2 linked regions of the Danio rerio genome follow. The protein of the gene in region 2 binds, or shares a complex with, the protein of the main gene of each other region. Links are inferred from orthologs where the notes say so. Each region holds a gene or a part of one and is shown on either strand. Other genes may lie near its edges. The genes, in order: med20 and ccnc.

What was found.
Region 1: ccnc (region 2) and med20 share a complex: the UniProt entries of both Homo sapiens proteins name them as parts of the mediator complex. The link is inferred for Danio rerio from reciprocal best matches to the Homo sapiens genes CCNC and MED20.

Annotation. Positions count from the first base shown.
Region 1 is NC_133197.1:573,901-578,347, reverse strand, and holds the start of med20 (mediator of RNA polymerase II transcription subunit 20), read right to left. Parts: upstream 3,019-4,447; 5' UTR 2,793-3,018; coding exon 2,779-2,792; intron 1,450-2,778; exon of another isoform or gene 1,291-1,449; intron 303-1,290; coding exon 157-302; intron 1-156. UniProt on the Homo sapiens protein: Component of the Mediator complex, a coactivator involved in the regulated transcription of nearly all RNA polymerase II-dependent genes.
Region 2 is NC_133179.1:6,195,542-6,200,061, reverse strand, and holds the start of ccnc (cyclin-C), read left to right. Parts: upstream 1-1,451; 5' UTR 1,452-1,541; coding exon 1,542-1,573; intron 1,574-2,072; coding exon 2,073-2,179; intron 2,180-3,317; coding exon 3,318-3,402; intron 3,403-3,579; coding exon 3,580-3,649; intron 3,650-4,249; coding exon 4,250-4,301; intron 4,302-4,520. Other genes in the region: ngs (notochord granular surface), read right to left, coding at 367-617. UniProt on the Homo sapiens protein: Component of the Mediator complex, a coactivator involved in regulated gene transcription of nearly all RNA polymerase II-dependent genes.

The sequences.
Region 1 (4,447 bases), on a different chromosome or scaffold from region 2:
GCGCAAAAGTAATCTAAATGTAATTTAAAAAGTAGTCCGGATACATTACCATAAATGTGTAATCTAACTGATTTATATTACTGACTACACATTTTGTCATGTTATTTTAATCTGTAACAGAATTTGGTTTAAGTAATCCAAGAGTTGTGTTTTTACCGGTGGCATTTCCCGTAGCGTGATACGTCTCACAGTCCACCCAGAAGTTCCCCTGTTTTACGGCTCCCAGCTGCTCCAGCTTCCTGTGGAGAAGATCCACCGTCTGCTGGACGCTCTTACCCTCGGCCACTGGCACCTGACAAACACTGACACAAACACACACACATTTGAGACGTTTAATTTATTTACAATTAAAAACAGTTTCAAAATGGTAGTTTACTAAAGCAAGATCATTCTGATCAGTGTAAACATCAATAAAAATAAATAATAAAAATAATTGTGCGAGTCTGTGTGTGCATATGTGTAATGTCTGTCTATCTAGCTATATAGATAGATTGATATACTTGAGTAATTCACCTATGAAAACCAAACCCCAGGGGTCCGTTCTTCGTACATGCATTACTCAGTTATTATATAACGGATTTGGTTATTGACGATTTGACATGTTCCAGGATCGTTACGCTCTTCAAAACTCATCTGAGAGCTGTTGTCCTATCAATAGTTCTGGTAGCTCAAACCTGCTGGGGAGCAGCAGCTTGTTTCATATAAACAGGATAAGATCGGTTCAGTTCAAGCAAAGATAATACTGAAACTATGTAACGAATTCTGATCTTTTATTACAGTAGTTATATAGTTATATACACTTGGGAAAATAGTAAATATATTTTTTAACTATATATATATATATATAAGTTAAAATATATATAAATAAAACTTATGCAATCTGCACTCCGAAATAAAAGTACAAATACTGCCACCTGGTGGATCAAAGAGAAAATTAATGCAACCTTTTTTTATAAAGGAATAATACATTCATGCAGGTATTCGGTAATATGACTGGGATTTAATGCCTTCAAAAAAGTTGCAGACATCTTTACCAATAGTAAAATGCTTTTGTGATGCAAAATTAATTTAAACATCCTGTTAATCTTTATACCAATTAAGAAACCGGCTACTATAATACTAATATGGCGACTGTAATAAGGAAAATCTGCTCTAACAATAAAATAAATTGCTGAATACTCTTGACACATGAATGTGTAAAAAAGCCTGCAGCTCACAACAAACATGGGAAGTTATTGTGTGTCATATTTAACAAACCGTTTACTAAGAATTTTAAATAATTTTGCTCACATGGAGAATTGAATATTGATCAGATGATGTCATTGCGCTGCTGTGCCGTCAGCCAATCGCTGCATTGCTGATCATGATTTTGGGGATGGATAAATCTGCCCTTCACAACACACGCTGATCTCAGATGTGCATCCAGACATTTTAATCTAATTCACGAACCTGTTTGAGGAACCAAATTAGCCAGAGATCAGTTATCAAGATGAACAGATCAAGGATCTGCCAAATCATCAAGATCATTTAAGCAACGTACGGACCCCAGCTCAGCATTTCTGTTTGTTGTCAAAACTGACAGCTGGAGGGGCGTGGTTATGAATGTTAGCCCCGCCCATTGCCTAAAACCAATAGTATCTGGATGCAGCCTTTGTGATGCAAGCTGAGATTGCATCTCTTAGTGATGCAATGTCGGACACAATTGAGCTAGTGAGGTCACTTTGAGGGGTGGGGTTAGGTGAGCACATTAAAGCTGCAGTCACACTAGAGCTTGCGTGTGCGAAAGTCCGCCGTACGGCGCTGCGAAAAGGGGCGGGATTAAACAAGATGATTAGGCATTAATAAAGCGAGTGATTGCTGCATGTGTTTCATTTCTGTCCAGAGAGCTCATGTTGATCCTCGATTGGTCTCCCGCAGTCAAGTGATGTGATTTCGCAGGTCCGACTTCACCAAGGTTGAACTTTGCACTGAAGTGACCTGCGAAACTTGACGCATGACCCTGCGTTTCCAGTCTGACGCATTCGCGTGTATGAATGAAGTCTATGGTGAGAAAAGCCCAGTGTAAGCACAGCTTAAAGTATTGGATGCAGCTCAGATTGCATCTGCACCAGGTCTGCAGCCAGACCCCTCTCTCAAAAACACACCATCTGATAATTTAACTGAAAACAAACAGGAAGAGCATTTTCAGATTTCAATTAAAGATTAGAAGGGCAAACTATTACATTTTCTCAATAATATGCACAGATGAATTATTCACCACAGAACTAGCACTGTGAGCTAACAACAACAACAAGGCTAGTTTTCATTTCATGGGCACTTTAATAAATTTTAAGACCCCGCGGACTCCCTGAACACTACTTAAATGAGTGCTTGTAAACTACAAAACTTGTTAAATGTTTTTTTATATGTTTGCAGTAAATGAAGCTGATAATCTTACACTTTTTTTTATACAAAACTTCGGGAAAACCTCGTCAAATATCCTTATATTTCATCTTAAATGTTAGTTTGAATGAACACGTGCACCTGATAATAATAACAGGCCTTCATTGTGTTCTACACAACACTAATAACAGTTTTGTAAAGTACTTTTAAGAGTGACATGTGATGTAAACATGTATAAAGCAATAAATAGACTGATGAATGAGGAGCAAAAGCCTCTCTGTGCATTCAAACAGCGCTGAACGGGAGCATCAGGAGCACCAGAGAGACTCAAAACAAGCACAACTGAAAATATTAATTATTTGAGGACAATACTTTATAAACAAAAGTGTTTCTCACCACGTTACACCCATTTCTTCGAGACAAACTTCCGCAAGCCGGGGTATTTACTTCCGGATCACTCGAGTTTGCGTGAAACACGCGAAATCAGTAAAAGTAAAACACTTAAATTCGATAAAATAAAAATATTAACAATCATTAAATTCATGTAATATAAAAACATTAGCCGCGCTAAAAATGAACAGAGCCGAGATCTGCCGAGCCTCGAGCGGAAGTAAACAGTGTGACGCAGCGCCGCTCTGGGATCAGTAGTTCTGCGCGCTCCAAAACAGCGCTCATCTCTCCAACTGCTCTCAGAGCAGCACTACAGACATATATCTATGTATACACACACACTCTCAGCGCCATTGCTCTCAGACCCACGTGTGTGCAGCTCTCCGCGGCGCGTCATGTGTTCAGACGCGATTTCACACTCATAATTCCTCAGACAGACAGGCAGATAATACTAATATTGATAACCGTCATCATGCCGAAGGTGAAGAAGGCCTGGAGCGGCGGCGCGGTGCCCCTGGCCGAGCAGATCCTCCAGCGGGACTCAGTGCGCTGCAGCGGCCGGCAGAAGCAGCGCGGCCGCGGGCAGGAGGAGCAGCAGGAGTTCGTGGATGAGAAGCTGAGCCGGAGGATCCTGGAGCAGGCCCGCAGACAGCAGGAGGAGCTGCAGGACACAGCCGAGGAGGAGCGCAGGACACCGGCGACCAGACTGGGTGAATGCTGCACTCACTGACTCTCTCTCTGTCTGTGTCTGTCCTGTTTTACCAACTGTCTGTCTGTCTCTCATCTGACTGACTGTGTGTCTGTCTCTCTGTCTGTTTATTTGTGTATCTATATGTCTGTCTATCAAACTATCCGTCAATCTGTCTGTCTGTTCCTCCATCTTTCTATCCATCTGTCTATGCCTCCATCTGTCTCCGTTCGTCTGTTTCTGTCTATCCATCTTTCTGTCCATCTGTCTATCTCTCTGTCTGTCCTTCCATCTTTGTCGGTTTGTCTATCCCTTCCTCTGTCTTCATCCGTCTGTCCATCTGTCTATCAATTTTTCTGTTTGTCTGGTCTGTCAAATCCTGTGTCTGTCCATCACTTCATCTCTCTCTTTCTAGCCATCTGTCTATCCATCTTTCTGTCCTTCTGTCTATCCCTTCATCTGTCTATCCCTCTGTCTATCCATCTTTCTGTCCTTCTGTCTATCCCTTCATCTGTCTATCCCTCTGTCTATCCATCTTTCTGTTCGTCTGTCTATCCCTCCATCTGTATATCCATTTTTGTGTCCGTCTATCCCTCCATCTGTTTATTTCTCTATTTTTCTGTCTTTTTGCCCATCTGTCTATCCCTCCATTTGTCTGTCCATCTGTCTAACCCTCTGTTTGTCTATCCCTCCATCTGTCTGTCTTTCTATCCCTCTGTCTATCAATCTTTCTGTCCTCCTTCTTTCTATCTCTCTGTCTGTCTTTCCATTTTTGTCGGTTTGTCTATCCCTTCCTCTGTCTTCATCCGTCTGTCCATCTTTCTGTCTATCTTTCCATCTTTGTCCATTTTTCTATCAATTTTTCTGTTCGTCTGGTCTGTCTAATCCTGTGTTTGTCCATCCCTTCATCTCTCTCTTTCTAGCCATCTGTCTATCCATCTTTCTGTCCTTCTGTCTATCCCTCCATATGTCTATCCCTCCATCTGT
Region 2 (4,520 bases):
GCCTACAGTTAAAATATTTAATTATTGATTTACATATTTTTAACTTAAATCTGTTATAGGCTACTGATTATAACACAGTAAAATTATAATATTTTTCTTAAAAACACAGTAAAATATTTAATTATATTTTAGGCTACATCATTATTTGATTGTCCGGTATGAGCACTTACAGTACAGAACATTAATTTTACATTACATTTGTTAGGCTACAAATAACACAGTGAAATACTATGGTAAAGTTTTTTCCTAAAATTAAAACTTAGTCAAATTTTTTATTATTTATTTAGGCTACATACGTATTTGATTGTTGAGTATGAGCACGTTTATTAGAGAACATTAAATATATTACATTAGATGTCTCTTTACCTGGTCATGCGTGATTTGCGTGTCCCGGACAGCGCTCTGCGGCCGGTGCTGCGGGAATAGCTGGCGGACCGGTGTCTAGTCGCCCCGCGAGTTGGAGAAGGGCTGGAGACCCGGACCTGGAGGGTGGACGAGGCGGCCAGGCCTCCCTCAAAGTGCCTGCGGTAAGAAGACATCCTCTCCGGGCTGTAGCTCATGTTGAAACCGGTGGTCCTGAAACAGAAGCGTGTGATTGTATCCTCACACTCATTCATGCGGTAGTTTTATACCTGCTGTCCCGCAGAGGAATCTCGAACCTCGGGCTGACTTGAACTTAACCCGCTGCTGAACAATCTGACGGGTCACCGCGAAGAGTTTTACCGCAGTAAAAATAGAGGAGCGAGTTTTCCTGATGCCTGAGATCTTTATTAATCACATTCTCTGCACTAAAAGTGTCGAAAACTTTTTGGAGATTGACAGTAGCCTGGTGTTGACTTCATCGAGGAGGTGCATGCTAATTATTAATCATAAATTAACGGTTTATGGTCACTGTAGCCTTGTATATTGGGTAAAAACAAATGATAATGTAATAAAAAAATGACAATGTAAAGTTTGTTTATGGCTGTCAAAGACAAAAAACATGAGAATCTATATTAATACAAAACAATATCATTATATTATAATATATTGCATTATATTATATTATATTATATTATATTATAATTAAATAATAATATTGTATATTATATTTAATTATATTATATTGTATTATATTATACTATATTTTATTATATTATATTATATTATATTATATTATATTATATTATATTATATTTAATTATAATTAAATTATAATATTGTATATTATATTTAATTATAATTATATTATATTATATTATATTGTATTATATTATACTATATTTAATTATATTATATTATATTATATTATAATATATTATATTATATCATATTATATTAAAATAATTTCGATTAGATAAATATAAAGTTGATGCCAGTAAAGTCCGCAAAAACTCTTCCGGAACTGATGCGTTTGTTTGTTTCCTCCCGGACCGTTTTAATCTTCACATTGAAGTTCCACGGAGTGTTTTTTCTGTCGCGCTCCTCATCTGATCTGAACGGAGCATCGATTATTTTAAACACAATTTAACAGCACATTAAGGTTTATTTTCTACCTCAAGATGGCAGGGAACTTCTGGCAGAGTTCACATTAGTAAGTATTTTCGTATTTACTACCTAAATCACGCACAATAAAGGATTTTTGGGGGTTTTGCTGCGGTTACGGGACCATAAGAGATATAAAAAAACATTTCAATTGTCATATTTGAATTATTAATGCGAACAAAGTACCACATTTTGGTCATAACCAAGACTCAAATACGGAGGTTAGATTATTTGACTTTTATAAATCTAATAGTTTAAATCGTTGACTTATTAGCTTTAGCTGTCTGGCTAGTGAAGAAACCACAGAGAAATTAATTTGTGAATCATTTGCATAAATATCGGTTATTTACTACGTGAATTCATTTTCACACATTAAATTTACATTTATAAACTCAATTAAAGTAATGTTTTAATGCTAATATCCAGATATGAAGTGACTGATACATTTGTTGTTTGACTTGTAGAGTGTATTTATTACACGTAAATATTAATATATGTGTGTTACACTTTAATGATTTGTGAATTGAAAGTGTCTTTGTTCTTTTCAGTCTGCAGTGGGTTCTGGACAAGCAGGATCTGATGAAGGAGAGACAGAAAGATCTCAAGTTCCTCACAGAAGAGGAGTACTGGAAACTGCAGATATTTTTTGCCAATGGTTTGATGAGAAATTGCTTATTTAGTTGTTTTGTTTTCTCTTTTCTGAATCTGAAACTGTATTTCTAGACTAAGTGCAAAGCAAGACCAAAATATTCAACAATATAGTATTTACTCATGTTATATGACAATGGCAGTTCATTTATATAGCATAATTAAAAGCAACCCATGTTGACGGATGTGCTTAACATTAACTAAAATCCACAAACAGCAAGAATAAGTCAAAAACAAGTAAATAAAAAGGCTAATTAAAAGCTTTTACGTGGTTAAACGCCAGTAAAATATGAACTAAATCTTATTCATGTGTTCAGTGCTTTGTCAAACAAGATAGTTTTTATACTTGGATTAAAAACGAAACAGATTTGCAGCTAATCTAATGGAAGACGGGGAAATCATTCCAAAGTGTAGCAGCAGCTGCAGAGATTTCAATCTAAATTTAGGAATCAATAAAAGTCTCTCATCTGATGAGCGATCAATTAATGATAGATGGGTTTAAGAGACAATGTGCAACAACTTTTATTAACATGAGTTTTTATTATGCATAGTAAGCATATTAACTATGAGTAAAGTGTCTACTTTCATGCTTTAAATAGCTTTTGTGAAAATATTGTTTCCTCATACTTTGGTGTAATAGATAAATATATATTTTTCATGTTTGCAAAGGTATTTATATCATTTAAATGTAGTAATAATTTAAAAATATGCAAACAATAGGTGATCTTGTTCAATTTTGTTGTATTTTAAATAAGTTTTGTTGACAATTGGTAAATCTTTTTTGTCATTTTAACATATTTAAATAACAATACTTTTGGGCTACACTGTTATCTGTTAATATATCATCAGATGATTGATCTTTCAAGATTTATTTGATGTTAGACATTTTAGGGGGAGTTATCTGTAAATGTATGAAAAATAATGGCACTTTATGTTTTGATGCTTAGAGCCTTAATTTTTTGACCATATGACCAAGTGTTAGGTTACCACATATACTGTGGAGCGTTAATTGAAATGTATATATTTTTTTCTGTTTTGTATTCATTTGTATTTGGTTTTGGGATTTAAATGCAAAGCTAACTTAAAGCCTAAAAGTTTAAACAGCTTAAACACTTTAAAATGTTTAATTCGTCCTCTTGTGACAGTGATTCAAGCCTTGGGCGAACACTTGAAACTCAGACAGCAGGTCATCGCCACGGCAACTGTCTACTTTAAGCGTTTCTATGCCAGGTGAGCAGTGCAGTGCCATCATTAAAAGCTTGTTTTCTTCTAAAGATTCCTCTTCTAGATTCATCTAGGCTCTTGTGTTTTTCATGTAATGTGGTGCTCTATTTTTGTTCTGTGGCTTTCATTTAAGTACTCTTTAGTTCATGAAATAAAAGGAAAAACTCTTGGCTGTTTTTTCAGGTACTCTCTGAAGAGCATTGACCCTGTGTTAATGGCCCCAACATGTGTGTTTCTGGCCTCTAAAGTAGAGGTAAATACTCTGTCTGTATATAATATAAAGTGCTTGGCATAAATGAGTAAAACATTTTTTGAAAATAAATATTTTTTTACCATGTCTCAGTCATCATAGGTAATAGATTTTGGCATATTTGAACAAAACAGATTTATTAAACTGATATATTTATTAAAATATTTTTTTTGTCACCAATCATCTTTAGAAATAGAAAGATAATGCATGTACAGTCATGCAAAACATTGCAAAAAAATGACAAACTGAAATTTCAACTATATGTTACATTTTTTTTGTTTTTCTTGATTTTTATTCTATTTTTTACAATTTTATTTAATATTTGTCTTATTATATACATTTGACCTAATTTTTAGACCGTCATCATACTTTTTTTTTAACTTTTTATTTTTTTATATTTTTAGCTCCAGAATTTGACTTCAGTACTGACTAAACTAATGTATATGCACAAATATAATATTGTAAATCATCCTATAGAAAATATTAACTTAAAAGAGAGATTTGTGAGGGGTGTACTGAGCACTGTAAACACAATATTTATTCAGATTTCTGCTGAAAGATGTTTGAAACTGCATTTTAACACTAAAATTCTGCTGTCAACAGGAATTTGGTGTCGTTTCAAACACTCGGCTTATTTCAGCAGCAACGTCTGTGTGTAAGTGGGTTATATTTTACAATCATAATTTTTTTTTATGTTAATAAAATATATGTATTTTATATTATATTATATGTTATATGTTATTATTATGTTATTATATGTTATATTATATGTATTATATTATATGTATATATATAGTTTAAATTGTACTTGTATATTTTATAATAAGTTATTTTTTTGTATATAAAGAGAGAAAAGTCCCATCTGAGATTTTCA